Oreochromis niloticus: one gene and its partners. The protein of the gene in region 3 interacts with the protein of the main gene of each other region in a pairwise test. Links are inferred from orthologs where the notes say so. Each region holds a gene or a part of one and is shown on either strand. Other genes may lie near its edges.

The links.
Region 1: the proteins of ral guanine nucleotide dissociation stimulator (region 3) and kras interact in a two-hybrid assay, tested with the Homo sapiens proteins (3 studies listed by BioGRID and IntAct). The link is inferred for Oreochromis niloticus from reciprocal best matches to the Homo sapiens genes RALGDS and KRAS.
Region 2: the proteins of ral guanine nucleotide dissociation stimulator (region 3) and rras2 interact in a two-hybrid assay, tested with the Homo sapiens proteins (2 studies listed by BioGRID and IntAct). The link is inferred for Oreochromis niloticus from reciprocal best matches to the Homo sapiens genes RALGDS and RRAS2.

Annotation. Positions count from the first base shown.
Region 1 is NC_031972.2:57,151,193-57,162,294, forward strand, and holds the start of kras (GTPase KRas), read right to left. Parts: upstream 3,983-11,102; 5' UTR 3,713-3,982; intron 3,025-3,712; exon of another isoform or gene 2,862-3,024; intron 1,539-2,861; 5' UTR 1,532-1,538; coding exon 1,421-1,531; intron 700-1,420; coding exon 521-699; intron 17-520; coding exon 1-16. UniProt on the Homo sapiens protein: Ras proteins bind GDP/GTP and possess intrinsic GTPase activity. Plays an important role in the regulation of cell proliferation.
Region 2 is NC_031965.2:19,878,173-19,888,573, reverse strand, and holds the start of rras2 (ras-related protein R-Ras2), read right to left. Parts: upstream 5,218-10,401; 5' UTR 4,757-5,217; coding exon 4,655-4,756; intron 1-4,654. Other genes in the region: copb1 (coatomer subunit beta), read right to left, coding at 7,755-7,814, 8,150-8,305, 8,590-8,679, 8,846-8,991, 9,110-9,229, 9,335-9,479, 9,830-10,009. UniProt on the Homo sapiens protein: GTP-binding protein with GTPase activity, involved in the regulation of MAPK signaling pathway and thereby controlling multiple cellular processes. Regulates craniofacial development.
Region 3 is NC_031977.2:33,216,683-33,227,519, reverse strand, and holds the start of ral guanine nucleotide dissociation stimulator, read left to right. Parts: upstream 1-6,662; 5' UTR 6,663-6,887; coding exon 6,888-7,076; intron 7,077-10,837. UniProt on the Homo sapiens protein: Functions as a guanine nucleotide exchange factor (GEF) activating either RalA or RalB GTPases and plays an important role in intracellular transport. Interacts and acts as an effector molecule for R-Ras, H-Ras, K-Ras, and Rap.

The DNA of each region.
Region 1 (11,102 bases), on a different chromosome or scaffold from region 3:
CCGCTTAATCTGTTCTCTACACAGTCACAGTCAGAACAGGATTGCAGTTTTAGTTTCATTTTACTTGTGTAGTACTCCACTGGCTATGTAATACAATCTTAGAAAACACTGTTCAAACAAACCACACTGAACAAACAAAACACTTGTAGTGTACAGAATGACTTTCTATAAACTGTAAGTGTCGCTGTAGTTTTGAGAAAGAAGAACATTAATGACTTAAGCTCACCGCCTGACAGAAGACTGATACACACATACTCTGCTGTAGTTGTAATTCCTACAGTGATTTTTTTTGTCAAATAAATTAAATTTTAGAGTTTTTGTTTATATTTTAATAGAGCATCCCATATATTTAGAAATATTTTAGTATCTCAGTAAGTTAGGGGGTTGCTACAGTATATATATTATATGTTTTTGTATATACACTTTAGCGACTTGGACACACAGCATGTTATCGCTTAGTTTTAAGGAAACTACTACATACTGGGTCCAAAGACATGAGGCATTTTCTCCCCTAGCTCACCTATAGTGGTGAATGTCTTCAAAGGACTTGGTGTTGTTGATGGCAAAGACACAGAGGAAACCCTCCCCTGTCCTCATGTATTGATCCCTCATGGCGCTGTACTCCTCCTGACCTGCTGTGTCCAGGATGTCCAGTAGACATGTCTCTCCGTCAATGACTACCTGCTTTCTGTAAGAGTCCTGGAAGCAAAAGAAGTCCAACAAACATCAGAATCCTGGAATTTAGTGGTTTAAGAGTCAAAATAATACAATGAGATGATAGCTTATTTAATAATTTTTAAATAGATTTTAAGTTACTCTAAATGTGTTGGCTGAGTGTGATTTACCCATGATATCACATTTTTAATCTAATAATTACGGTATTTAAAGTTATGAGATGATTTCAATAAAAGACACCACAGGACATTTTCTGTTCATTACACCAGTAGGGCACTTCATTTTTCAGCAGACCTCATATTACAATGAGCTCCTCATTTCTACTGTGTCGACGTACTCCAGCTTTTTATTACACTGATGACTACACTCAATCCCATCTAACACAAATAATTAGTCTTTGCTCCAGTGAACAGCCATACCTTTGGATGCTATCTTCTATTCAATCTATATCAATGGTCAAACCTCCAGCAACAAATCAATAATTAATTGAAATCATGATGGGACTTAGTTTGATCATTGGCCTTTTGAGAGCTCGGGCAGGAAGACATCCATTAAAAGTTCTTGAAAACCTGTTTGGTGTCTCTCTTTAAAGCTTAAACCAGTAAAACCTGTTATAACTCATTTTTTTAATATATTCACATATATATGTGTATAAAAACAGGACTTACAACTTGTGCTGCCCCCTTTCATATGTCGACATATACACAAAGACACAGGAACAGAAACATTCAATATTTTTCTTTACCTCAATGGTGGGGTCATATTCATCCACGAAGTGATTCTGGATGAGCTGAATGGTAAGTGCGCTTTTGCCAACGCCACCAGCTCCCACCACAACCAGTTTATATTCTGTCATGATTCACCTGTAAGTTTAAAAAAAAAAAAAAAAAAAAAAAAAAAACCACAATCTCATTATATGATTATCTTCAGTGAAAGTCAAATGGAAAGTATTAGTTTATCTGTCGCATAATCAATGCCTCGTGCATTTTTCACTTAAAACAATTTTACAATCTAATCGCATTCACACCTTGTAATTTCTCTACAACAACGCGTATGTTTACTGGAAATCTGCACACTCAGGACTGGCAGAATGAGAAGATAATATATGAACACCACTTCCAGTGAGTAACTCAACTCGCCCTCAGCTATTCTTTTAATAACACACCTGAATCACTGGGAAATTAGATTTCACACCAAATTTAGTTTGCTTTTCACAGAGAAAATGCCCATTTTAGTATTAACCAAGAGGCTTGTAGAAGAAGCTACTATCGCCACAAACACAATAGATGGCTAATCTGCATGCGTTTGTATGCAAATGGAGGGTATAAACAGAAAAAACCCAAATGGATTCACAAAAAGCTGCTATATTATGAAATATTCTTTAAATAATCAATTGAAATTTCTGCCTCTGAAAATTGTCAGAAATATCAAACATGAAATAAAATGCATAAAGATGAGATTATGCATATATGTAATTAAATGTCTAAATTCAGTAGTGTTTTCTGAGTGACAGCTCCACAACAGACGCCAACCCCAGGCAGATATCCATGACATTACATTAAGGTTCCAAAATTGACAAGCAACTGGGAGGGCCTCTGCTGTGTCTGCTTTGTGGAGCAGAACACATCAATAGTGGTTGCTGGTGGTCTTTTCAGAAGCTACAGCACAGACAGCTCGGCCCAGCCTGCAGTCAGGGAGGAGTGCGACTAAATATTATTGCTATGTCTAGAATGCTATGCATTTGCCCAACTACGAATAAACTGGTTTGTGCTCACAACACTTTTCTTTACAAAATTGTCCCCTATCATTTGATCTACACACTAAGTGATGTACACATGTCACCGATGAGGACGCTATCTGTAAAGAAACAGCCTTATCTTTAACCTGAGCAGATAAAACCAATGCCAATGGCGATTCCTCTGTGTGTGCCACATGGCTTTCACGTCTCTATGTCTATGCTGTCACTTTGCAGCATACTAGTCAGTGAAAGTGGAAAATGAATGAATACAGCAAGCTGTCAAGCAACAAACACCAATTTAAAAATAAGGAATGTAGCTCTTGTACTCCAGTAAGAAAATATAATTTGCGTTTTAAGCACTGAGATTTTTTTTTTTTTTTTTAAATACAGTAAAAGAGATGCTTCAAACTGTGGCAAAGTTTTGATACTGTGGAAGGTCGATGGAAACCTTATTTCCTTAAGATAGGAGTGTGGCACTCGTGGCTGTAGCTTGCCTCAAACTGAACCCATTAATGGCATGCAGTGCATCCACCTTTATGTTGACATTCCTGAAATCAAGGCCATTCCCAATAGAGGAAGAAGGGGGGAAAAACCCACTGAACTGAAAATCACTGCGGGAGAAAAAAAAAAATCACCTATTACACAAGAAGACTTATCGATATTTATTAGCAAACATATCGTTATGCTAGTTTGGAACGGTTAGCCGGCTACGTGATTTAGCTTTTCAATGAAAGGCCACCTATCATGCTTCAACAGGTAGAAACATCAGTAGCATACTTAAAACTCAACAGGGAATTTGATTTAAATTCACCGTTTTGCGGCTACAGGGTTACCAGAAAGGCTGTGTGAAACCCTCTGAGCACCAGGCTGCTGTGCTGTTAGCAAGCTTAGCATTGGAGCTCGCCAACAGCCTCGAAAGTAAACTCACCATGAGACCACATCAGCTAACTTAACGTATTTAAAAATGTAACTCATTAAAAGGAGCACTAGCTCCACCGTGTAGCCCGACACACTCGTTATCATTCATTCAAAGGGGAAGGGTGCCAGATTTTGAAGCCGCCATTGATAAGCTAGCTCACAGGTCTGCGTTGCAGGGCCAGACGGTAGGTTAACAATTGGGCGTAGTTAAGTTCAAAAAACCGAAAATGAATAATACCACAATAGCGGTGTTGGTTTGTGTTTAGATAGCGGGCACTGTGACCGACTAACTACATTAGTGAATACAATGTTTCGACGAGCACTAAAAAAAAGAAAAGAAAGGGGGGCCCAACATGTAATAATCTCCTCCATTTGTTTTACCTTTTACTGAGTGGAGTTCCGCGTCCGAAGTAGCGACCGAGTCAAGCTGATATTCCTCTCGTTTCACACGATCTCTGCATTTCCTATTTCTCACCAAAACTCCCGCATTTAAGTTGATCTGTCGTCGGTTCAGAAGCAAGAGACAACATGCGAAAAAGTGAACAAATTAATCGATTGAACTTTCCATTTGATCCAGGGCCCCGGCCTAGCTGCTCCGTCTGGCCTGCTTTACGCGTATATGGGCGGATACCAGGCGTACTTTTACCCATAAACCATAGCAGGATTTCAACCGGTCTGGGGCATTTATCTCTCGATGTGTGTATGTGTCGCAATATAAGTTGTAATACACTGTACTTTGTCATTTGTGTGCGCACTGCTGCTCTTTTACACAGCTTTCATTTATGACTGTAGATTTATATAAGCACTGATTATTCTACTATTAGTGGAAATGTTACGTTTTTTTAATTCAAATATGTGTTTTTTAAAATTATTATTTTTTAATCAGACTGAGAGGTTCATATCAATACTTTAATGATTGAAATGATTAATGATTTCATTGATATACCCACAGAGGTCACAATTTGTAGGACTTGTGCTCTGACTGCTGCTGCCTGCAGTCAACAAAGCCTAGGGGGCACTCCACGAGCCTATTTATAGGCTCTAAATATAACTGGAATGTGCAGGAGGGACGTCATTCCCAGGCAGGAAAATGATTTGGCAATCCCTTGTCAGTTTTCCTACGTGTTCACAAGGGTTCCTCCTGCGCACTGCATTTGCAGGCGTTCGTAACAAAAGACAGACACAAAACCCAAACTTATGTTTAAGAATAAAAGGAAAGAACAGTATATAGCATGTTTTTGTTTGTTTCTTGTTTTGTTTTGTTTGTTTGTTTTTTCTCTTTTATTCATGAGGATTATTCCCCATTGTATCAGAAAGGTTGTTTTAGTGGATTCTGTCTGGGACCTTATACTAAAAACATTAAATAAATAACATGCAGCAAACATAGTACGTTCTTGTACCGTAAAATAATATGACGTTATTTTTAAAACGTAATGCATTGCTTTCACATTGTACAACAGACACGTTAGAGGGCACTATTGAGCTCTCAATTACATGTGTTGCTGGGTTTAGAGATCATCAATTTACACATTTGTGAGAATATCTAAATCACTTTTTCAATTTTGAATCACTTTTTCATTACTTTAAAAGATGCCAGGTCAGAGAGGTACAGGTAAAAGGTAACTTTACAGCTGAAATAGACTATAATCAAATGCTCAAACGTATTAAGGTCACATCATTCATTATACTGTGAGCAAATAACAGTAATTATCATAATCTGTGCCTGGAATTTTACATTAGCGTCAGAGAAAATGCTGCATTTTATCTACATCTCAAAAAATATACTGTGTGTAAAACTAAGGAGGTAGTTAAAAGAGGGAACTCTTAGAGTTCCCTCTTTTCAAAGTCATACACGGTTCAAATGTTAATTGAACAAAAAAAAAAAAACCTCAAAACCCTCCTATCTACCAACGACACTCTAACTATAGTTAACCTTCGTATCTGGCACTGTTATTTGCAGACATGAAAGCAAATCTTGGACAAAAAGTAATTTCCACAGTGACAGGCATGTTCCAGCCACATGTTCATCAATAAGATCACGTCCATAACTTTTTGGACAAAGATACAAATGTTGTAATTTTGGTGGACAATTGTCATATTACCTCTAAGCCGCAGAAAATGAAATGCTTTAATTCTTCAATAGTTAATGTCTTTTTTTTTTTTTTTTTTTTTTGCTAAGCTAAAAATCTGTACTTCACTCACATCTCGATTGTTTGATTTAGAATCTACAGTGGTGTCACACAGGGGCAAAACTACAAAAAACTAATGTGTCACTCTCCAAGTATTTATGAACATAACTGCACATTAAAGAAGCTTCTGTGCTATGACACATTTTACTCATTGTTTGAACATTTTGAGGAAAACTCCATTTGAGCACTCAAAACACTTTTTTTTTACTACAAGACCCATTCACACCTCACTTTTATATATGGCTAAGGAGTTTTTGTCTAACAGTTTCACACACACACACACACACACACACACACACACACACACACAAACAAAAGGTGTTTCATAACTTTTTTGATCAGCATCCTATATGTTGGTCCTACAGTCAAAGTACCTTAGTACCCAAGTGCAAATCAAAATTTTAGCACTTAGCCATTGATCATAGCAGTCTTGTGCAGCTGGTGATATATCCAATGAAGAGACATCTAATGTAGAATGAAAAGCTTGTGTACTAAAATCCAAGAATATAAGGTGACTAAATATATATTTTAAAGATCATAATATATGTTGAAAATGATCTAACAGACCTTTTTTATATATCAGACATTATGGGATGTCTTAACAGGAAACCACAAGTGTAACCAGTAACACTAATGAAGTTGTATTTGATTTAGGTATAACTTACTGACACACTCCACTCCGCTGTGCTTTAGTTTTGAAAGCGATTTGGCAAAGATCAAATTGGTTATTACAAAAGCGATTATGCACATCAGTAAAATAAACATTTATAGATTTAAACAAAACCTCTGACGAAGTAATGTAAGCCTCACCAGACGTGTTGGGTAAGAGCACTTAAACCACTGATTGCACCACTTCTCTGTCCTTAGAGTTAAGGATTTAAGAGGAAGGTCTGTTTTGTCACAAGAGGGCACTAAGCCTCCGTTTATACGTGGTCTCACTGCTGCAGGCTCATCTTCATCATTTGCATCAGTTTGAATGCATCTGCATGCTGTGTATTTGCAAGAAACTGAGGGAATGTAAATGCAGCCTACAAATTCATTCACGTGATTTCTAATATGAATATTTGACAGTGTAAATCGGCTGTTTGAAAAAAATAAGTGTTCGGAGCACCAATTTGACCTTTTTTCAGTTAGATCATAGAATGGTGATTTATCAGGTCTTTATGTGAGCTTGGCTTTATGGTGTCTCAACAGAACTGGAAGTGAAACACGATGGTGTTTAAATGTCTATTTTTCACTCTTTTGGTGCAGTCTAACTGTAGTTCAAAGCTTTTTCGCTCTCTCAAGGGCAGATTTTCAGTCACAGCCTAGGCGACATCCCCCCTTATCCAAGTATTTCCTTATCTAAGAAAACCCTGCGTGGTATCTTTCTTCTTCTTTTAAAAAAGTCTGCGGATCTGTAAAAGTTGGCTGGAAGTCATCCTCCCCCTCACAGTGTATTGCAGCTTTAAAACAGTCCACAATGCCTTGCGGTGCGTCCCAGTTCCAATGCGATGTATTTACCAGCAGGAGTAATGAAACGGGGGAGAGGGGCTTTTTCCGCAGCTTATTGGTGAGACCGCAAAAGACTGTGTGCCTAGAGAGGACTGACACAAACTTTCGGACCGCGGATTGAAGCGTCAGTTCATCTGTTTCGGTGGGTTTCCTTAGTCTCTGTTTTTTCTGTTTTCGAAACGTGACTTTGTCGCAGTTCGTTGATAGTGATTTACTGGGCAATGCTGAAAAGGAGGATGAATTTTGCGGAATTCACTCCTCTACCTGTGTTTTCCCTCTAAACTTCAACCTGGACAGGGAGGACTAACTTTAATCCAGCAAAGGTAAGACCGTTACGCAACGCTGATTATTCGCAGATTGCGCCGCAGCTGAGCCCGCTGTAGTTGCGTGTAAGGCGGAGATAACGGAAACATTTCTGTAGTAGAATTTAGTTGGGCTGCTCTGGACCCACTACAGCCCACTATCGCCATTTCTCCGGCTTCCTCCCACTCGACACCAACTACAGCTCGAGCTACACAAGCAGCTAGAAGGTGCTTGTTTTTGTCTCATGAGGTGTTTCAGCTCACAATTCTCATTGCGTTATTTCATGTGAATTTTAGAAATATTGTCAGTTCCAATCATGGGACGTGTTTTCAGTCTATGTTTGCCTGTGTTGTGTTGGCTTGCCCCTGGTTTTTCCACAGTATCGGGTAAACTGCAGCATCTTCTGCAAATATGTCAAGCGCGTATGTTCTCAAAAGTATGTATGCATGTTTAATAATGGAATAATCTGCATATAGAGCCACTTGGTTTATTCTGTCTAAAGCTCCAGTGCTTTAACCACTTTGACACACACAAACCAAGTGCAGAAGAATCAACCTGTGGAGTTGTTGCACTTGCACAATGTCTTATTCTCTGCAGCCTTGGAGAATTGCTTGGGTTTGGTAGCGGAATCGAGTCATTTGGTGGTCTTTTCTGCAAAGCACCATGAAGACCAGGCTAAAAACAACCACCTACAGACTGGAAAAAAAAAAATATTTAATTGGCACTTTTTTTCGTGGCTGCCACTTCAGTTGCTCCTGTAAAAACCATTTGAGTTCCATAAACGCATACGCAAGAGTTTGACTCACAGCTGCAGCTTTGCAAACCACAGTAACATGTAAAAGAAATTGGCCAAAGGCCTCTGGTTGCCCCGCTGAGCCGCCGCTGTGCTGCCCTGCTGCAGGAGCCTGCTGCTTGGCCCTCTGGCTCTTTAAAGCTGGCTAGTGAGCAGAGAATATGGCAAGGGAACAAAGGCGGCATTATTGCTGGCTGAACGTGCTGTCCAGATGTTCCAGATTCTGCCAGCACTGACCTCCCAAATGGGGGAGGTTGCTTCAGTGCTTAATAGTTTAATATCAACCAGACGGAAAAAAAGAGAGAGGAGCAGCTCCAGGGCAAGGGGCCACTGGAGACATCCCAAGAGCTGTGGGTGCTGGGTGTAGCCTAACTGGATGGGGGTTTAATCCCAAACTCTAATATCTTCAGAAGGAAAACACAAATTCTAAGGAGGTGCTGGAAACATTTTTGTCCTTATTTTTGAGGTTACCTTGGTGGCTTGTGGCATTTACCTAAGGCACACACATTTAAAAAGCTTCACAAGCAAAAAGTATGTTGAATGCAATCCATTATCTTCTGCTACTTTTTCAGTGGACTTAGTATTGGTGCAATAAATGGACAACAACCGTCAATTGGGAATCCTCAGTTTGAGCTTTGCAAACGCAATTTTTCTGACCTTGTAATTATTAGTAGTATTGTAGGATTCATGTTATTTAGGTGCCATTACCTACTGTTGTATTTTCCATAGCCACCAGTATCACTATGCAAAGGACCCCATAGCTTTCTTATCTCTTAGTCACGGCCTATTGGATTCTCACAGCCCAGGAATGCATACCCTGTATGTTATCAGTTTCCACTCTCCAGGATCAAGGCCTTTCTCTGATCCTTACCATGCTCTGTGATGTTTACAATTGCACAGGACATTTTAAACACTCTAGGCTGCCATATCTGTGATGAGGAACTTCTTTATCTGGTCATCAGTGCAAGATGGATAACTTTTAGCCACAATTGTTCCATCATGTCATCATGTCTTACATTAATTAAAAACTTTTGCAGTCACAAGTGATTGAAGGGCAGGGATTATACTTGTTTATGTAGTTGTAGCGCTTGACTAAAAGGGAAGCAATAGATTACTCCAGTTTGTTCCAACCCAGTCGCCTCCACAATAAAACCATCATTTGTCTCTGGCTGCTCACAGAGATCTATTTCACAACAGATCTGTTACCAATTACAGCAGAGTATAAATTGCTACTAATTGCATGCTGCTCTGCAGGGTGTGCAATTTGAATTAAAGTTTGGTAAGTAATAGGCTGGAAGGTTTAGAGAAGACATGTGTTGCTCCAGTCTGTAAGAAGGATCCTATTGTATTTAGTTAACAGCAGTGTGGGGGAGTTTTAAATCTCAGGAGGCTTCTGCTATAAATCTTTATTAATAAAGACTCTTGAATACGAATTCCAATAATATTGCAATGCCTGAACCTCTGCTAGTAACATTGTTTACCACCTTGTTGAACAATGGTTAGCAAATATAGACAGAAACTGGAATTTTTATAAGAAAAATTTTATTTTATAGTCTTGTGTTTTTTGTTTTTGCTGCTTTACAGGCCTTTTCCTCGGTGAAGCACACTGGCTTTGATGTCCCCTTGTTCAGCATACTGATAAAATGCACAATACACCTGCCAGATCGCGATGCCTGACAGACGCAGTTCTGTATTTAAGCTCTAACATTAAAACTCCTACAGTATTTCTGTATGCTGTATGTTACTGAAATGTGTTGGTTGTGCTGAAACGGGAGCATATGGTAGCTTGTTTTACAGCAGCAGCCAGTAGAAGCCTTTCCCTGCCAGCTTGGTGTGCTCCTGTAGGTCTGGAGAAGTGTCATCAGCAGCCGGCCAGGCAGGCTGCTCATTTCTGTTCGTACACCTCACTACTCAAAGAAGACTTCGTCATGAGTCAGTGATACTCAACCAATACCAGACCGAAACAAATGTGAGCAGTAACTAAAGTCATTTGGGGTTGATGTTTTTTTTTTTGCAGAATTTGCAGAAATTCGAGTGTTTCTCTGTCTCGTGAAATGCCTCTCTGGCAAAACACAAGCTGCCCAAATCAGCAGGCGGGCATCTCCCCAGGCTGTGGCTTTGACTGGCCAGAGGAATGGAGCTTGCAGGGCTCAGGATGGCACTCTGCCCCGCACCGCTGTGCCTGTATCATCAGTTGGGTTTTCTGGGTTAATGGTAATGAATACAAATGTTGCAAGACTGGACTAAAGCAAGTGACATTTGTAAATTCCCCTCTGAGTCTTATAGAGCTTTTGCAAAGAAGAGGCACTGAATCAGCCAGCAGATATTTCTAATGCCAGTGAAATGCAAAGTATTCCATGCAGTGGTCTTTTTAAAATCCCCCTCAGCCAGATGCCATTAGTCTGGAAGTGTTGCTATAGTTTTTTTTTGAGGGGGGGGGGTTCTTCTTCCAATCAGAATGGCTGATCTCCTATTGCTGCTCCACTATGACTGCTTTGCATCAAGACCTAATCAGTGCCTGTTACTGTTTCTACGTCCCCCCTGGAAAAAGACTTTGGGTCTTTTGGATGATGGCAGAAAAATCTAAGCGTCTGCATGTGTTGGCCGTTATTCATGTTCCTCTACGTCCTTCAAGCATTTAATGCCATTTAGGTTCCGTTTTATAAGAAGGATAATAGCAAGCATAATGTGCCAAGAATAGACTGAAACTAGATGACACAAGTGCGCATACATACATAACACACACTGCAATGAAACTACCTGTTTTTGCTTTTCTGCTTTTTGTATTGCAGATAGGTAGAAAATTTTTCAGTCAGTATTATAGAAATTCTGAGGATTAAAAGATTGTTTTTTTTAATTTAACACTTTGGCTGTTTTAAATTTTTAAAAACAAGCATTTTGAAAATGTCAACTTAAATCTCTGATAGGCTTTGTGGACCATCTTTTAAAACAGGAAATATTATTAAAAATCTACTTCTGTTTCTCTATTCTT
Region 2 (10,401 bases), on a different chromosome or scaffold from region 3:
CCTGCGTGTTGGACACTCATGATTACTTTTGATCGCAAGGAGACTGAACAGGTTGCAACATTCTTATGGCAGGTTTTAGTAATTCCTACCTCTAGATTTGCTAACCAAGCTAGCAAGTTATCACAGCCTTCTTGTATTAATATGTCCACTTCAGGCTCCGAAATGGAGACTCCAACGTCCAAAATGCCATCTCAAACCAGTGACATCAGATGACTCAATATTGAGTCTATGGTGAAAGTTACTGAGGGGCTTATTTGCTCTCGCTGAGGCTCTACTCTGTGAGAAGCCAAGGTGTGACCACTCAATAGTGTTAAACAAACAGTTATTCTCCTCACCTACCCCCACACACACATCTGCCACATCCTACACTTAAAACGAGTTTACTGTTATACTGGTCAGTTTTAGGAGAATGTTGTACTTTCCCTGTATAAAGTGCTTTTTTACTTTAATTAAGCACTCAAAGAACTTTTTACCACAAGCCAATGCAATCATGCACACATACAGCACTTTATTGCCTATAGATACTTCAATGACTAGACTGGAGGAACCGGGTATTGAACCGCTGATCTAACCATCTATTTTCCAATTGGTAGATGACCGGCTCTGCCTATGGAGCCATCCCAAAGTTCATCATCAAAACATAAAAGCAAAGCCGAGTGGAGTTTATTAGGCAAATTTCAAGCAGTCTATGAAAAAGCAGACAGAAATAACTACTCGTCTGGTGTCTGCAGGTGTCCGTGTCTGCATCTGAAAGCAAATATAATCCTCAGCTTGCACGAGACATAACGACAAGACATAAACTTCCTTATAAAAGAAAAAACACCAGTCAGAATATGCAGTGAATGGAGCTGTTTGCACTCATTGGTATGGTATTTGGCATATGACTAAGCCAGACAAAAAGCTACAAACCGCCCGTATTTAAAAATGGGCTGAGAGCATGCACTGTGTGGAAATACATAAAACAATCTCTCAAAACTAGACATCAAACGCACATTCACCAAAACATTGTTGCAAAGCCATTGCCCAGACACCTGTGGCTGTTTCTGAAACGGCACCCACCACATTTTTACTCAAACACTACTATTACAGCCATATCCTGCCTCCACATGCTCAACCAGGGCTGCTGCCCTTATAATCCAACCTTTCTGTTTTTTTCTACTGAGCTGCTACTTTTGGCAACATGTCCCCTGAAAGATTTCATATCTGACTAATCAAATCCATTTTAGAAGTTATGAGAGATGCAAGTAATGAGGCTGTGTATTAGAGAAACTGGGAGAACACATGTGCTTTAGCTGTAAATCCAGCTGAGGTCTACAAAAATCCTCAGCTAATCTGTCTGGACTTGATCAGTCAGGATGTTTCGCTCTCATTTATGAATCTCCATGGCCAGGGGCTGCCACCATGCTAATATTAGCAAGCATGTGAGAAAGCAACACCACGCTTCACCTCAACATCTCGAGAGCTGTCTCATGCTGGCGGCTTCTCTGGTAACCCAGAGTAAATTGAGAAGGGTTTCTAATATACCATGATTTCAGGGATTTTTTTAAAAAAAGGCACAGACGCAACCCACATGCAGTACTCACATGGCTAACGTGAGTCATCTTTTCCCTTACTTGGGATGCTTCCTGCCTCGCAGACGTCACATTAAACAACACGCAGTGCTCAACAACTTTTGTCAGATGACTCAATGTTATGTCATCCTAACGCTATTTCAACTTGAGTCGAATGCTTGGCATTAGGGTGGCCAGCAGCCAGGGACCTGCCACTCTTTGTTATTGCTAGCGACATCTTTCATGTTCTGACTCCCAAAAAAGTCCCAAAAAGTCTTTTATTTTAGCTGCTCAGGAACCTCAAGATCAACATTAGCTAACACACCTCAGGACTAGCAAGTGATTAAAATGTGCTCACGCAATATAGATAAAAAAAGCTGGCATCAGATGATCAGCCACATTGACGAAGTGCTTTTTAAAATGCCTACCGTGCTGGTGCTTTGTGGTCACCCACAGCCACCCCAACACAACAACGATAAACATTTCAGCACACAAGCAAAATTCTAAAATGTGATGCCACAAGAGGATGATCTAAATATATGAATCCAATGGAAGTAGATAACAAAATACCTTAAATATCTCATTTTTACTGGTTTATTAGAAGTAGATCTTCTAGTCAAAGTCTTAATCTGTGATGACCCTCAATCCTAAACATAACCCACCCCAATTTTCTGAAGAAATCCAAACTTTTTTTTTGTCCCCCAATTCCAAAGACTTGAGGGAACAATTGTTTTTTGAAACCGTAGAACAAAAAGTTCTGATAGTACAGGATGTGGGTCAGAGTTAGGGTTAGGGTTGGAGTTGTCACTGATGACGACTCTGACCTCAGAGGGTTACTGACAAGATAATAAATGACGTTAACCTGTTTCACCAGCAGCTGACGCTAAAGCTATGAGCAATATTTCATACCATAAAGGTGATTAAAAGCACATTAATGAGCAATGTAGGAAAAATCTATTAGTGGAAAAAGAGCGTTTGCTAAAGAGAAATCTAACCAAAGAAGGGTATTTGGGATATATTGAGACTTGAGACACTTGCAGTCACTTCATCGAGTATTTTATGTTTTTGGCAAAACACATAAAACTAAAATTAGTACTAGTCAAAGTGACAACTAACACACACACACACACACACGCACAGAATTCCAGTGATTCAGGAAGCAGGTCATGTTTTTCCATACAGAACTAGGAGGTCCTAAGAGCAGCAGTAGAGGGACTTCCTTTGCCAAAGGGCCAAATTCCACATGGTCCGTGACCATTAACCCATCCAGGCTGACTCAGACACCTCCGACCCCTCCACCACCACCACACACACACACACACACACACACACACACACCCTCAAACTCACAACACTCAGCATAGTTCTGAGTATCGCCTCGACTTCACAACCAGCTGTCAGGTCCACCCCAACACAGCACAGCAGGCGACTTCTAGAAACCTCTGAAGAGTTTGTCACTTCTCCACCTACTATTTCTATCACCATCACGGCACAAGACATGCAAGCCGGCAGTAAGAAAAACACACGAGCTAATTAACTGAGGGAGCTGCCGAGTACAAGATACATATAAAAGGGGACATCCAAGCAAAAACCTCAGTCAGCAGTCAGTTAGCTGATTTGAAAATGAGTCTGTGAGACCTTAGAGAAAGCTTTATTGCTAAATCCAGGTCCACCTCGTGCATGTATGAAGCACGTTTTAAATGATTATTACATATGACAAGCAAAACTACAAATGAGAAAAATTCACAATGACATTATCAGCGTTACTCCAGTGGTGTTACCATAACATCTCAAGTGTTTCCCCCCAGTTCAGGTCTATCTGATCCCTTCCTACTTGGTATGCAGTTAATGAGCTTTTTGAACCCTCATTAGGATACAACTCTCCCCCACCCACCCAACACACACTTGCTCACAAGCTTCACAACCCACCCCCCCAACTATTGTCTGTCAGTGTGGAGACACGCAGCTGCCTGCCTGTCTTGTCCCCTGCAATCCAGAGCAAGCACCAGTAACACAGTGACACCATGGTGGGCACACACACACACACACACACAAGGCAAAGGGCAAAGAATGTCATCTCTCTCATACAGTGTGTGTGTGTGTGTGTGTGTGTGTGTGTGTGTGTGTGTGTTTGGGCCCTCTCCTAAATGGCGATTATGAAAGCCTGGAAGGTCAGAGCAGTGTCTGCACTGTGCTGGAATGCAACCAGGCATTACAGGGAGGTAAACTGTTTACATGCCTTTTATATGTGACACCCAGCGAGCTTTCTTCAAGCAGGCTGCTGTAAAACTGATGAAGAGTGGTGGAAGCAACCTTTCATTTCTATAGATTATCTATATTAGTGCGCTTGCTTGCCTTTGGTTTCAGCTCGAAATGAGGTTAACCAGCAGACTTGGTGAGACTCTGCATCAGAGCACAAAAGTTAATCATCTCTCAATGGACATTTTGTGCAGCTGCTGCTTATTTTACAGTCACCCAACCTGAACGGATTTTCTCTGTCTAGTTCACATATTTCCAGTGAGATCTGGAGGATCCGTTTTGGTGGCACTTAAAAAGAACTCAAACGCACTTTTTCCTCTTGAGAGTGACACAGAGAGATACCACTGTACCAACTTTGTACAGCTTTTACATCCTTCTATTTGAAGTATTACATTGTGTGGCTTGGTGGGCCACTGCAACCCCTCTCAAAAAAAAAATCACAGGACTTTTAACAACTTAGCACGAACTCTAAATCCGCTGCTTTACTTTGCAGGGAAACTTAGGTAAAAGAAAATAGGACAACTCTTTAAGCTCCAAAGACCCACTTTCCTTTCTCTTATGACTAGCGGCTGTACAAACTGCAAAGTGGAAGTGGTCCTCTCGGAAATCGTCGCGTTAAAGTGACAGACGTTTAATTCTCCATATCTCGCACTAAAACCTCCCCATCCGTCCGACAGTCGCAGGCCTCGGCAAAGTAGTGAAGAAAAACAGACCCCGGTGTCCGTTTACGGACGGATACCCGTGTCCGGCCTCTCCCTCCTTGTTTGGCCGTGTTTTTTCGGGCGAGCGTGGAAATCAGAGCGAGGCTTACATTCGCTTCAACTGCAAGGTTTACCGCTACTGACCTGAATAAACTGGATAGTCAGGGCTGATTTCCCGACGCCACCTCCTCCGACCACAACCAGGCGATACTTCTCCTGCACCGAGCCGTCCTTCCAGCCTGCCATCGAGGACACCGCCGCCGCTGCCGCTGCCGAAACACCAGTGAAGCAGCAAACACCCACTTTTCCCCCTGTAAACTGAAGAGGCCCTCGTAGTTGGAGGCACCGGAACGCAGATACAGAGGCCAGCTACGTGCCGAAACAGTCTCGCCTGTGCAGCAGCCCCCTCTTTCTTTTTTATTTAGTTGTAGGGATGTAAACGAAGAGGGATCCCGATCGGAGCTACCACCGCCTGTCCATACGCCTGACCGCGTTTCGGGCTCGCCAACACTGCACCGTTCAAGATGCTGATCCGATAGTTAAGAGTAATCAGCCAGGCTAATACTGATGTCTGACGCTAGGGGCTGTTTCTAGAGGCAGTCTGCAAACTGCTTCAACACCCTCCTGCACACACACACACCGACGCAAGTAGACCTCAACCCACTCTGCAGCTCTACCCTGACACTAATATCATGCACCCTGCAGTCACATTCCTGTCCTCAAATGGCTCTGCGCTGTCTGCTCGCTGTAATTACAGCCAATTACGCAGTGATAACGCGCCCCGCGGCCGTCGTCGTCGCAACGTAAATATGGTTTAAACATGCTGGAAGTTACTAGTTTCTTCACTTTTCAGTACAATGAATAAAAAAAATAAAAATAGGTGACATTTCTTGATATGTTATCTACAATATTTCCACAGCTTAGTGGGATTTAAACATTTTGTTTGTGCTGTGCGCTACATCCAAGTTTAGATAGATTTAGTTAGAAAATAAACACTTATTTTAATATTCAATTATTTAAAAAAAAAAAAAAAAAAAAAAAACAACTTCCCAGCACAGTGGGGGAAAATAGGTTTTGTGGACAGATAGAGCAAAGGGAGGAAATGCAGTAAAAGTGATGTTTGCAGGAGTATTTCTGCACGCTGCACACACGCCTGCTGCTGCTCCGCAATTTACGATAAAATGCGCGTATCTGTGCACTTCATATGCGACGTCATAACTCATCACGCAGGTGGAAATTGAAAGTGGTGGACTGTGATTTGTGTGTTTGTTTTGTTTTTTTTTTTGTTTTGTCCCTTGTTGAAATTGACTCATACCAGTTACAATCTAAGTTACAACCTTTTATTTCATTGCGCAAAGGTCCCGACTTGTGTTGTCAGCACGTCACGTCGTGATAAATCCAATATTTAACTGCATTTAAAAAAACAAACAAAAACAAAACATAAAACACCACATGGCTTTGGGACCCATGGCGCCACCCGGTGTCCAAAAAGAGAAAACGCGGGGCGTCAAACTCCCTGGGAATGGTTTGTGATGTTCACATGGATGCTTCGTACGAGCAGTGAGTGCTGTCAAAGATTCAGTCGTACCCAAGTGATTTTAAAATACAACACAAAATATTATATCACCCAGAGGAATTGTGACAGTGATCCTTTGTTTAAGATGAGCACTTTGTGTCTACATATTAACGTGGCAAAGCAAGAAAATCACCCAAAAGCACAATGCCAAAGTCATGCCTTGTGTTAGAAAGTGTAGCTGTGATTCTCATAATAACTATGCCCGAACCAGACAGTCTGTGCAGTGCACACGGCAGTTGGAGTTGGCTGTTTATTTTCACAGTTGAAGGTCTGACCTCAAAGCCACCTTTCAGCCTTTATCTAAAACCCCTGGAGGGAGATTTTTACAGATACTGTAAATGTATGACTGGGGTGGTGACCCTTTAATCTGGCCTACTCCCAGAAATATCCCTTTACTCATAAATAATAAACTGGAGGGCGAGTGGAATATGGAGGCCTGTGCCAGCACTAATCTATCTCCATCTCATTATCACGCTGACAGTGAAACTTGCAGATGGCTCAGAGAGCTCAGTTCAAATCTTGGCAATATATTACCTGAGGTTAAAAGAATTTATGTTCTTGCCCAGGTTATGCATGTAGACGGACATTTTCAAGGTGATGTCTTCAGTTTGGAGGTACTGGCGGCACAAATTCCAATCAGTTACCCCACTGTGGGAGATATTACAGAAGGAATCTGAGGAATTCTAATTAGATCCCAGAGCTACGATCACAAGCTAGACACTCTCTTCACTTTGGGGCACAACGTCCTTTAGGTAATTGTAACAGCTTCTTCAAAGATAATTACTAAACATCTACTGCCATGCACATTAAGGCAGGTACAGCACAACCTTCCATACTTTCCAAAAGAAGGCATACAATCCAACTACATTTTTGGGTTACCGTCATGCTGGAGATGCTCCCAGCTGTCATAGTGGGTGGGGTGCACCCTGCACAGGTTGCTAATCTGTCACAGTGATAACACAGGGACAAGCAGACACTCACACCTATGCCCAATCTAGAATCTAGACACTTTACAATGAAAGGCTCCAGCCAGCAGATTCAAAGCTATTACTAACCACTGCTCCGCCATCTCCAAATTCAATTCAATTCAGTTTTATTTATAAACGCCAAATCTCATCAAAAGTCACCCCAGGAAGCCTTATACTGACCCTACAAAAAGGGTACAAACACTTATTTAATGATCAGTGGTTTAGTTTGGATGTTTTTCCATCTTATGGCTTTAATAATATCAAATTCAATATGAACCTTAATGGTTGTGGCTGGTACTAGAGGATTCTTTTTTTTTTTTTTTTTTTTTTTACCCTTTTCTTATTGAATTGAACTTGAATTCCCTTCCTTTTGCATATACTGTCTTAAGTTTCTTTTATAAATTGCCCTATTTTGAAAAGAAAAAAAAAGAAAAGAAACACCAATTAAAAATAATGAGGTGTTAATAAGAAAAACGAGCTCTTAACTCAATGAAAACACGACCGAGCATGTTTTGGACATTATTTCAATACATTTATTGAAAATGAAACGGGACAGGGGAAGCACATTGCCGAGATGTAGTTTTCAGAAAGAAGTGATGTTAAAAAATATAAAGCACAGAAGTAACCGACCATATAAGAGTTCATATCTGCTATGACGATGATCAAACAGTAAGTTAGGTGACACAGAACAGCAGCTGTTTCAGACATTTGCCTTTTTTTGGGAAAGGTTGATCTTGTCACCCAGACTCAGGGCCATCCCCTGTGGAACAAAGGAAGGAGGGTTAGCTGCGACACATGCTACACATTAGCATATCTGAAATACAGTGAAATCCATTTGCATTTGGAGATTAATAAATGCAAATTTTTCGTTACATGCATGCATTTAAGGATGAAAGTCCACACTTGGGGTACTTTAGAGAGGCAAAAACGGTGTCACTATGCAAATACTTGCAGAACTGATTAGTTATTTCAAATCAAATAAGTCATGTGATATTTTTACAAATGGATGTACTGCTTGACTGAGGGGAAATAAAGTCCACCCAGCCTTTACCTCTCAGATTCTTAAGGGTTCACGGTGTGGCAGCTGTGACCTACCTGACTTTTAGCTCTAATGCGTATGTGTCCATTGACAGGTGCATCGGGCCCCAGGTGGAGAGGCTTCTCAATGCTGACATTAGCCAAGGCATCTTCTCCAAAGATAGAACGAGCATAAAGGTTGGCCGCCATGAAGCCACAGAAGCCAGACAGAGCCTTGTTTATAAGAGAAGAACGTCGGTTAAGAACAACAAACAACATCACAGTATCTGCACATTCATCTTATAAGGAAGCACTGGCATGTCTTATGTTTACATATATTCTTTATATAGTCAGCACAAGAAAATATCCTGCTATACGGCCACTAATGATTCTTTCCGATGTGCACTGGTGCCAAAAGTTTTAATTACCTTTGTTATTTGTATTTGGGAAAGCTGCCAAGATTTAAAAGCTTGTTTACTTTCCTTAGTCTGCGGTTTACATAATGTTCTCATACCAACCTTTTCAGGAGTCAAACACTTCATGTTGGTGGACTTGAGGATATGCTGGAGATACTCGTTCAGATCAGTGATGTTGGTGTTCACTGTCACCTACAATAAAGAAAGGACAATCAGTGCTCAGTGTTAGTTGAATGTACATCAACTAAATCTATTTAAAAAAAACAAAAACAAAAAAAACTTTTAACAAGTCCAACTTTTTGCAAAACCAGTCAGATTCCAGGAATGTGTTTTAACCCGTTTAACCCCTTAAGTTTACCTTGTTTTCCCACTCAAACTCTGCCCACATCTGTCTGAATTCTGCATCAGTGCAGGAGGCTGGCTGGATGTAGTCCATGATGTCAATATGGATGTCGCTGAGGACAACGCAGTTTCTGTCGCTAGCAGCTCCTGACACATCGTAGACTGAAAAGAAGAATCCAGACATCCCCACAATTAATTTAAAAAAAAAAAAAAATGCATATAGAAAAAAAATGGTGTGACTTGAGATGTGACGCTAAAAATAGACATAAAATTCTTTTACCGATGTTTCCAAATATAATGCCATTCTCAGTAGATGCCACCTTCACATTGGCCTTGATGTTAGCAAAATCATGAGGGGCCAGAGTTAGAGGTGAAGGCTTCTCAACCAACTTAAGATCGCCTGCAGGACAGAAAGTTGAATTACATTAAAGTAGAAACCAAATGTGTGCGGCTTAAATGAGAGAAAAAACATCTTTTCGCCGAGGCTGAAAAAAACTACACTAACCTAAAGTAGCCAGCTCAAGTGTGCAGTTCTGAAGAGTATCACTGGTCTGGTTGACCACCAGCACATCCAACACAATGTCATACTGGTTGACATGAACGTAGGCTTCAGCATAGACTGGATCTGAGAAGCCCGTCAGCTGGGTCACCTAAGTTGGACAAAATGCATTCGTTTAATGATTAATAAACAACCAAGTACAAACACTCCCCAAACACTTGTTTATTATCTTTTAACAACCTATTAACAGCAAAGCATGTGCACAACAAGGGCTTCAGCAGCAGGTGCTGCTGTGTTGCCAATAATATGAAATAATATGAACTGTAAATAAGTTAGACTAAGCCGTAAACTTGAAATGCACTCAAACAGCAATAATCATTCCCATTCACTCTTTTACTGTTCAAAAGCACTATTATCTCCTAAGTACTCCAACATTCATCTGTCAAATTAATTTCCAGTTTCCTTTTATGGAAAGGCTTTTAGGGGTTAAGTATGGTGCACCTTGTTGAGTTTCGATGCCAGAGGATCGGCGGCCTCCTTCCTCTGAGTGTTGCCCATAGCAGCCAGCAGGCTGAGCTGGAACTGGTCCTCCTTGGAAGTCATCTCATTTTTGGCCGTGAGCTGCATGAAGGATATTGGATCGTCGGCCTGGACCGTTACATTGCGTTTCTCAGACTCTTTCTGTAGTCAGAAGAAGAAACACGTGGTTATTTTTGGAGGAAATAACAACCCCAATGGAACAACAACAACAACAAAAGTATCTATAATGTAGTCTAGTATAGTGAAAATAACACAGTATAGCAAGTTACAAAAAAGACATAAGAAACGGTTGTTCAACAGAAAGAGAATAAAAGCTGATGTTATTGTGCAGAACTAAGAGAAACTGCAAAGACAGAGACAATGCTGCTGTCAAGAGAAACTGGAGCACTATAACAAAAAAAAAAGTTTTCCATTGGTCCCAAAAGTCTTATGTATATACACAACAGGTTTAAATGATCATCTAGGAGTGTGATATTACTACACTCCTCCTTAGAGGATCACATTACTACCTATCAGGGTGCAGGCTCTTGAAA
Region 3 (10,837 bases):
CACGGACAGATGTGCACCTCTTCTGGAAAGCCTTTTCCTTTTTTCCCGGCATAGGTTAATTTTTTTCTAGTGTTGTTCCTCGTGTTGTTGACACAGCTGTTAAAGTAAACATGCATGAGCTGAGCGTTGGCGGTTGGGGTTCGGCCAATCTGTGAAGAGGGGAGTGGGAGCCCTGGAGTCGCCTTCACTGAGGTTCTGCTCCTCCAGGATCCTCATGTTTTTTTGGACTGGTTCTCAGCAAAGCCGTGATGTGGTGCTGGAGCCGGTGGATCTGTGGACTGCTGGCCGGGACCTGGGATGGCGAGGATTATTACAGGACAGTCGGAGGAAAAGAAAGACAGGTTGGAGCTCTTAATGTTTACCTCTTAAGTGTAAAGAGGCTGAGTTTGTAGTTCGGTGTTGGGCTTGAACTGAAGGACTGGCCACATTTAGAGTTTGGCTCCTTGCAGGTAAAATAATGCCACCCTCTAACAGTGAAGGAAGTTGTAGTGAAGCGGAAGACACGTTTAGACGGATACTGGTTTATAGTTCCAAGGAAAGCACTGGAATTTTTTTTTTTTCAAAATAAGTCCCAGGATAAATTAAACTCTGGTTGAATGCTCCCCAGTTTAGCCCCCCAGTGTAAATAGCACTGACTCAGCTTTAGTTACCAGTGTTTATTTTACTGTTTAACCTTTGCTACAGTTTGCCGTTGATGCTAATGCAGCTTAATACCACAAGTTGTTTTGAACACCCTTTTTATATTAGTGATGCATTATGAGTGATAGTCATATTTATGAGTCATAAACCTGAATTAATGATCTGTGCCAATGATCTGGGTGTGCTCTCTACATTTTTTTTTAAAACTCTGTTGGTGAATGTAAAAAACAAGCAGGATTGCTATCTGCTCACTTGGAAGTAGAGAGTAAAAAAACAGCTGAACAGTGAGCTGTTCAGCTGTTTAAACTATGCAAATAATTCAGTAGAAACTTTAGTTGTTTTGAAGTGATACATGTGACACATCACATTGGCACTCTTGACATTCTTCTGATTAACAGATATGACCTGGAGTGGAAAGATTCAAAAGATTTTAAAGTGTGAAAGCTTTGTGTTTGTTTGTTTTGCTTTTTAGCTGTCAAATGCTCTTTCCATTTTTACTAATTTTCTATCTGTAATTCTGCTCTTCTTTAAATTAAGTTTTGGTGGTTTCCCAAGTGTGGGCTGCACCCCTCTGTGATGCTGTTGTTAAAGGGACCTGTTATGGTTCTTTATAGCTCCATATTTTTGTTCTCTCACCTTTCCACGTGAGCTTTGCATGATTGGCAGTTTAAAATAATCCCTGTTTATCTTATACCCGGCCTTTGTGCAGGCAATCTTCTGTCTCTTTTAAGGTCCCTGTCTTCTGATTGGCTGCCCCTCGTGACAAGAGGGATGGGTGGGTGGGGCTTCTGTGCCTGGGATAACCATATTAGGGGAAATTTGACTCTTAGTGACATCACACAGAGTGAAGAGTAGAAAAAACTGTGTGAAACAGAGCGTTTAGGCTTCAAGCTTTGGACTCACAGGGATTACTAGCACACTGACCAAGATTAATATCAACACGTTTAAGCCTGTCAATGATTTTAGGACTTCCTTAAAATATGGTCCAAATGTCTTAAAGATGTGGTACAGATACGCGTCCTGCATGTTTAAAATGAAATGTGTCCAACAGCCACATAGCGAATATTGCTGTAACAGCGAGAGCGCTCAGGTCGGCTCTTGAGTTAATCTGACTTCACAGCACGACATGTCTGCACCAAGAACCAATCGCTCCATGTGAAATGAAAGAATAAATGCCTCGCTTTCTATAATCTGCTCCCATTAGCTGTCATTACAGTGTGCTGGCTTCACAGCGACATGAAGCAGCACAGACGCCTGACCTCAGCTGTCTGCTCTGCTTAGAAGCTGTCAACCTCAGACGACAGGATGTACAGGAAGCCAGACCTTTTCTCTGTATGACTCACACTCACTCAGGCCTTCAGATTACAGAAATAAGAAAAGATTTTACAGGTTTAATTGTTATTTATAATAGAAGGCAGCTCACAGGTGCGATTAAACTGTGCCAAGATTGGTTGAATGTGTTCTTTAGGCTTCTGTCTGTCCTCAGCTCTGGTTCTTTTATCTGAGGTAGAATGAAAACCTGTGCTCTGTGCAGTTCTGCAGACCATAAATCATCAGCTGTGAACGCCTGGTCACTGAAGTTGAGTTATACAGATTTAGTTGATTTTATTAGGAGAAGGGTTTTGAACGTGAATCTTTATTTTTTCTTGTATTAATCCGTTTATCGTGATTTATGGGCTTGTTATTTTCCTCTTGTTACATAACTCGATATCCAGTCTATGTCTGGCTCTCCCTTTGGCTTTTATTTGTTTCAGGTTTATTGTTTGTGAAGCACTGGAGGAAACATTGAGCGCCTGGCAGCAACCCAGGATAACCACCCAGCTTTAATGCCTTGCTAAATGGCCTCCTGACAGGAGGAATAAAGAACTTTCTGCACTGCTCAGTGTCAGCAGGACTAAAATAAGCCGCTGATGTCACTGCCCTAATTTTAATTTTACCCTCGTCGTGATGGGAATCTTTCTTTGGTTAGTGACGTTTGGATCTGCCCTCCTCACATACTTTTGTGAAACTTCTTCTGTAGGTCGGGGGGTGCAGCCTCTCAGTAAAAGCACGAGTGTTTCTGTGTGAGAAAATAAGAACGTAATGCAGGCTGTTAGCGTCACCGTCCTCGGGGAGCCGTAAAACATCAGCCAGGCCCGCAGCAGCAGCAGCAGCAGCAGCACAACAACATCCTCTGGTGTTGATTTCCAGCAGATGGAAAAAGAGCTTTAGTTAAATCGCAGCAGACTCAGAGTTGGCCGGCCCTCCAGGCTCTGTCAGATTTCTGGGATTCAGCCCATGTGGGTTATTTTGTAGGGCAGATATTAGTACCAGTGCTTGTTATTCTGTGACTTTCAGTCTTTCTGCTGCTCTGTTCTCTGTGCAGATGAAACGGCGAATAGTCACGTCTTGCTCGACATGGGTTACGCTATCTTTCAAACCGATCTACCATCTGGGTCAGGCTTTGTGTTACAACAGACTTTAGGATGTTTTTCTGGCCGTTTTTGCAGTATAGTTTTTGCTGCTCTGTTGTATCTTAATTGCCCCTTGGGGATAAATAAAGTCTCTCTGATTCTGCTTCTGATTAATGATTATAAATAAAGCCTCATGTTTCTGTTGCAGCCTGGTAGAAAAGCACTGGACAGGCCACTGAGGGACTGGGAATAAATTGGCACTAAAAATCTTTAAAAGAATATGGAAAGCGTGGAAATTTAAACATTTAAATAACTGGAAATTTCTATCTTTTTTTAGACAAAAACTTTAATAAAAAGCTTTCAAATAAACATCCTGCAAATTTGTGATAAGAGAAACAGCAACAGCCACATTTGATCATACGGCTGCACGATCAGATGCAGCATTCAGAGCTTTTTATGAGGTCACAGAGCCAATTTGAAAATATGCACTTTAAAAATGGACTCATATGGTTTGATTATTGATTATTATTTGTAATCAAGGATACTTGTAAGTGATTTGTCCAATTAAAAAGGAATGAAGTCCATCCATGCATCCTCTTTCTTCCACTTATTTGAGTCGCAGGTGGCTGGAGCTTATCCCGTAGGGAGAGAGGCAGGATATATCCTGGACAGGCCGCCAGTCTGTCGAAGGACTAACACACGGAAACACACAGCTATTTAGAGTCACAAGTAATCATAACCGCAATGCATGTCTTTGGACTGTGAGGGGAAGCAGAGTACCCAGAGAGAAAACCTGCAGAACTCCACACAGAAATCCCCCAGCTGTCCCGAGGATTCAAACCCAGGACTTTCATGCTGTGAGGGGACAAAGTTAACCACTCTTTTGCCCAAGAGGTACAAGAAATGAAGTGAAATGAAACCAAAACCTTTCTTCAAACACTTAAAACATGTTATATCAGGAAACCTGCTTTTACAGGACCTGGCTCATTGGTGTGGTGACAATAATTGAAATTTGTCTGGAAATATCTCCTTTCCCACTTTTAATCACTGGACTGTAATCTTCCACAGTGAACCATGGCTGTCTTGATTTATTGGAAACTTAAATCTGTGTAAACTTTTAGAAACCCGTGTTGCTCCCTCACTCGTCTTCTTCACGTCGGGCAGCTGCAGATTTCTGAGTTATGAAGCGCAGCCGCTTGGTGAGGAAAGGTCGGACGTGCTTGTGGTTGCATTCAGCCTCAGCTGGTGCGGCAGATGTTTTCCTTAAATTTTCTAAAACGTTTTGACACCTGTCAGTGCCTTGGCGTGGAAAAGCAGTGGGTTGTTTCTAAAAAAATCCAAAAAGAAAAACATGTGAATGAAAATCAAGGTTTAATAATGTAACAGTTAGGTAATGGTTTTGTTCTGCTGTTTAAAGCAGGCTGTGGTGAATTTAAGATTTGTTCTGTGTGATTGGAGACGTTTGTTCCTGACATTGACCAGTAGGGGGCAGCGTTAGACGTTAAGTCTTCAGGTTCTTTCTCTGAAGTCTTACCCTAAAATTCCCCCAAGATGCGTTTGTTGAACCACAACACAAATAAATTCAGTTTACTAACAGGGACTTCCTGATGGTGCTTTCAGGTGCTTTCTGACTGTTAAAGTCAGGTTGTTTGTTTTTATGGTGTGCAGCAGTGCTTTGAAAAGGTGTGTGCAGGATAAGGTTATATAACATTGAGATCTTTGTGTTCAGGTGGTTTCAGTGAGGATTTGTTTCATTTGCTCCTAATTGTTTGCAGCTGAAAAGTTTGGTCAGCGAGCTATTTCGATATTAATCTGTAATTTAGCTCATTTATTTTGGAAAAATTATTCAAGCTTTTCATCTGAGGACCTGCTGATTTTCCCTGTTGTATTTTCTAAGTATAGTAAGATCAGACAGGATGTGTTTATTCTAAAAGTTGGCAAAGAGTTACAGCAGCTTATGACAAAACAGCTTAAACAGACTAGAAAAAGAACAGCGACAAAGCTAAATAGATCAATAGGGTAAAAATTACAAAAATGAAAAAATCTAATAAGTAAAATTTAAAAAGCTCAATAAGTGAAGATCTAAATAAAAAAATAATATAATATACTTCTTGTGTAAAGTAAAAGCGCAATACATTTGATTAATCAAAATAAAACGGAATAAAAATGTTAAACACTAAAATGTAAGTTGAAAAATTTAGATTTTAGACACACAAAATTAGACTTTTTCCCATTTAAATACATATTTATTTGTCATCTTCCCACAAATATGTTTAAAACTCAAACCATTAACCTAAAAAGACAAAAAAACAAAACAAAAACCTAAACAATTATAATTAAATGATCTCTTGAAAGAGCTATAATCTCAGTAAAACTGCTGAAGTGTGACTTAGACTTTTATAACGAGTTATCATACTCACAGGTAATTTGTTTTTTTATATTAATGCATAATCAATCTTTGGAAAACTAAGGGAAAAGTACAAAGTTGCCCTTTTGAAAGGTGTTAGAGCAGCACTGTACTGTTTTAAACTGTACGCCACCTTTAAGCTGTGCTTTAGTGTAACAGTGGAGGAGAAGGTGGGGGAAGCTTCGTGTTGTTTGCTGAGCTGCTCTGGGCTCACGGTAAAAGTGTAACTCCAGCAGACTTCACTGTTTTCTTTTCCCACACAGTCCTCCTGCCACAGTGAAGGCACAAACAGCGCCGTCATTTCCCAGACACATGAGTAAGAGCGGGGGAGTAAGTGCTGCCTTCAGGGACGTCTCGCAGACTCCCGTTTCATACATAACAACTTTATAGTGTGCTTGTGTCGCCCCAGGTTACTTTAGTTACCTAAATTTAGGTGTGATAAAATAAAATGTGGGAAACTTGAAATTAAAGTTAAAAGCAAATATAAACTTCTGTAATTAAATAAAATTATTTTGTGACCTTAGAAAATTAATCACTATAAAATTAAAATGCAGATTAAATAACATTACTTCTGGTCTGTTAATTTGAGTGATGAGGCTTTGGGGAATGTGCTTATTGAGATAATAGGCTGTCTGCATGTCTGTGAGTCCACTGCCGTCACAAACTGTGTTTCTGTTGTAATACTCATTTTAATTTTGTCCCTGATAGAGAACCTCCAGATGATAATATTTAAAAAACAAAGAAACAAAAAAAAACAAACCCAAATCTAAAACTAGGGCTGAAACTAAAAAATATTAAAGTAGAACAAAATATTTTCCAACAATGAAAAAATTAACTGAAATGAGCAAACTCACTCTGTAAACTAACTGGAGAAGAGAAAAATGAAAACTATTATAATTGGACTAAAAAATATAACAACAACAACCGTAGAGTGTTTTTTGTTTTTGTTTTGTTTTAGCACAAAGTAAAAGTCTGATATGGTGACGACCGTAGTTATAAACATTAAAGTATCGTTAATAGCATTTCATTACATCTGTGTAAATGAAAAATAAGTAAATGAAAGAAGTAGTTTGTTCCTTTTCCATGAAGAGTACGTGTTAGATGTTTAACAGCAATTTTGCAAAGTTGTATTCACGTTAATGTAATTAAAGTTATAACTTTTTAAAAATGTGTATAATTTGTGGGATTAAATACAAGACAAAACATAATTTTCGCTAAAGCCATCCTGTGCGTTTGGTTTATCCGACAGCCCTGAAGGCGCCGATAGCTGGGGGCGGGGTTTAGAAAAGCCCCGGTGTGAGTCAGAGCCGTGATAAACTGTACTGAGAGAGGCGATGATCACACAGAAGCGTTAACCTCAGGCGGTAGCGGCAGTGTGTGTCTGTGGGAGCCCTAAAAAAACATTAGAAATGTCAGCGCGGGGGTGTGACTGAACTCTGCGGGCATCCATGGTCTATTTCCCGGGGATGCAAGCCGAGGCGCGTAGCGTCAAGCCGGGCCAGCTGCTCGAGATGTTTGACTCTTCGTGGAGGGTGCGGAACATTTGGGACGGCGTGAGGCTAGAGGTGGTTGAAGACCGCAGCCCGGTGGTCCTGCACAGCTTCACCCACCTGGACCCTGACCTGCCGCTGGTGGAGGTGAGGAGGATGGGGAGGAGGAGGAGGGTGAGGAGGCAAGGAGAGGTCCGTTAGCTGATGCGGTTTGTTGTGTTGTCATGGAGGAGGGTGGATCCAAAGAGGTTTTCAGGCTTCGGTTGCGATTCTGCAGGAATAACACAACACTTGTCCTCTTAAAGAAACATTTTCTTACCGTTAAAACAGAGATTTATGATGTTTCTGCTTTATATCCTCGTATTTCAAAGCTTTATCTACTTTTATGCCCATAAAACATGTTTAAATTTGCGTTAATTAAGCTTACATTCAACATGGTGAGTCACCCAGGTGATGCAATGTGCCATAAACGCTCTAATCCTGTGTTTTTAAGCCTTGTAAACGGATTATCAGTATAAAGCTGCTGATTGGCTGCATCTTACAGTGTTAATACAGTCTCATAACAAACATAACAATACAGGGAAATCTAATATGATGCTGCGGTGCTGCTTGGCACTAGAGTACAGTTACAGGATGACTTGCTTTTTCATGTTGTTATTGAACCTTTCAGCCCTGTGGTTATCACGCCTCCCTCCTTCTGATTCTCTTTGATACTGAAACCCTCCTGTGCAGGTGTTGTTGAGTCAAACCTCACCAAATGCCATGAAATATCTGCACGTTTGATACTGAGAGTGGTCGTTTGTCATTTTGCAGAACGATGCTTTCTGCATCGGTCGCTTGTACTTCTAGGGGTTTTTCCACATGTGCGGGCATACATTGAATCAATCGTGTTATTTACAGTTTCACTAGTTGTTACAGGATGTAGTGGCCTGTTACTGCAGCAACATGATTCATTGATTGGTCAACAAAGTCACCTAACAAAGGAGCGAAGTTAAGATTTTGTTTTTGGTTCTGATCTAATTCATCAGACAAATGTAAACCCATTCAGTTAGTTGTATCATTTTTAGGAAGCTCCGCTGCAGTTCTAAATGTGGCCATGATTACTGTAATTACAGATTAATCTGTAGATCATTACCCCAGCTGTTTGAGTCATTGTTTCGTTGTTAGAATAGTTGTCATGATAAAGATTACACATGGCTTCTTTTGTCCAATCAGCAATCTGAAACAGAAATACTTTAGTGTAATTTCATAGAAAGCCGAAGAAACAAGCGGGTTTTCAGATATAGAAGCTGCAGCCAGCGAATCAGATGCTTTTACATGTTCAGGTCACGATCAAAGTGAATCTAAAAGTAAAAGCACACACGCAGCAGAATGACTTCAGTGTGTATTACATCAAAAACACCCTCCGAGGGAACCGTGAGCCTCTGAGTTCTGGGTTGGGCCTCCGTGGATCGGTCCAGGTTTAATTGAGTGGATGCTTGATTAAATTGGGGTGTAGTTGGTGACGTCATTGTCTGCATTCACTTATTATTTGTGCTCTGATATGTCTGCATCACTGGAGCCGTTAAATCTTGAGCAGCTGTTATTTTTACTGAAATGAAAACAAGAAAAACTGCATATTTCTGCCATTAAAAGATGACAGCATCTCACATTATTAATCATTTACTAATTTGTATTTCGTGTTTTCACTACATATTACTAACAAACAGACCTGTAACAGCTGCTGAAGTGTTTGTGTTGTGTGTACTGTATTTATATTTCTAGGAGGGCTAAAGAGCAGATTTAACACAGTAACGTGAACCCTCTGTTGTCTAAGTCAGCATAGGCGATAAAAACCAACCCTTCACTACCCTGGCCCTAGTTTTTAGAGGTTGGGTTGATCACTGTCTTAGACCTCAGATGGACAATCAAGAATTAGACTCTTGTTTGTGTTCCTATAGAGTTGAATTGTGATGCTAGTAGAGCTCAGATCATAGCCTGTACATGAAAGATGGACATAGCCACTAGTTGGCACTAAAAATGTTAGTTGATTGAACAAATTATTTTTATTTCATTGAAGTACAACAGCAGTTGCCTGCTGGTTCAACAATGTTAGGATGCCACTGGCTGGTGCCCCTGTAACTTCAGTCTCTGTCACGTTGCATGAGCCAGCGCGGTTCAGCAGGACTTCTGCACGGAGCTGTGTGTGACCACATTCAGTTTTTTGTTAATGAGGTTTTAAAGCCTCAGAGTGAACTTTTTCGCTGTCACCATCTTGTTGGTTTGAGATGAGATGGAACAAACTAATGAGATTGAGATATATTGTGCTTTATGGTTTTTGAGTCTGTGTGGCAGTTTAAGTTATAAAATGTATTTTAAAAGACGTAAAACTAACGATTGATACCACAAACTCATCAGGAAAGCGTTTGCTAGGGTCATAGATCAAGTGAGCAGCAGGGGTCTTTATTCATAAAGAATCTGACTAGTCAGTGCAACTAGAAAAGTCTCCCCCTGCTGGGCATTAGAGAGAATGCAGGTTAAATGCTTCACTCTTCAAACACAGGGAGAGTTATCTTATTCTTTAGTAAACTAAACCGGAACATGTTAACATGTTTGACTTTAGAAGACTGAACACACTACAAACCCAATTGCGTGAAAGTTTCAATGCTGTGTAAAATGTTATATTTATGATATGTTTTCTGTGTTCTGTTGTGAATTAAATAGAGGTTTATGGGTATGCAAATATTTTCTTTGCTCTGCAAATTTAGAGCAGTTAATAACAGGAAATCGTCCCTGCAGTATATGAAGATCACGTGTGTTTTGCTTCTCTATCACTACACTGTTTTCATATCTCTAACTCTCATGTTCCCCCCGCCTAGCTGTCCTCTTTAAACCCAGGCTCATAGATATGGTTTCATTGCTAACTATAAAAATTGCCTTTGTTCTGGATTAAATAAACGTTTTCCAGCCTTGTGCTCCATACATCTCGAACATTCGATCACATAAGGTTGAGAGGATGAGTAATCATATTTATTGGTCTTAAACGGAGCCAAGGATTGTATGGCAACGTCACCATGGAGACCATGTATTCCAGTCTGTGTACCTGGATTACATGTTCTCTTCTTTTTACTTTCCGGTGTCTCTTCGGTCAGACTGGACTGGTATCAGAGGTTCATTATTAAACCCCCCCCATTTGGCTCAGTGTGCCCCTGCTGGTCTCCCATCCCCTACTAACCTGTTCTGCTTCGTCCCTTTGCTCTAATCTAATCCTCTGCTCTAACACAATTACCTAATCCCCCTCCTGCAGAGGCTGAGGGGTTTCCTCCACAATCGCTGCCTTTATTCCCCTCCTGCTGCACAAGCCGTGAATGTTATTTGATGCTGAGGTTGTGTTGCAGCATGACGGGGTCACTGGGGCTGGTGTGGTGCTGCCGGCGGTCAGATTGAGCTATTTGTTGATCCCTCTGGCTCCATGTAACCAGCAACATCAGCCTCAATGCACTGTATCGTATAGCTGAGAGGATCGAGTGGCTTTGAAATGGAGGTGTGCCGCGAGATGAAGTTACTGCAGTGTGAGGCTAATAACAAAATGATGCTGTGCTGTGTCACGACTGGATGATTGTTTAGGGCGATTAATGGGCATTTTGGTTCTTTGTAAAATCGGTTTTGTTATAATAAAGGCATAAAAATGATGCATGCCTGCTTAAAATTGAGGTTGAAGCTGATGTGCTTGACCAAGTTACATTTATCGACCTACTTCTACAACATTTTGTATCTTTCTGCAGGAACTGACCCACTGATGTGGCAAGGTTGATGGAATTGCTTTTTTTCTACCCTATAATAAAACAGTTGCACTCATGCAGAGTTTTTTTTTCCTGGCTCAAAATGGGCCTCTGAGGGGTGACTGTGCATACAACCACAACTTGTCC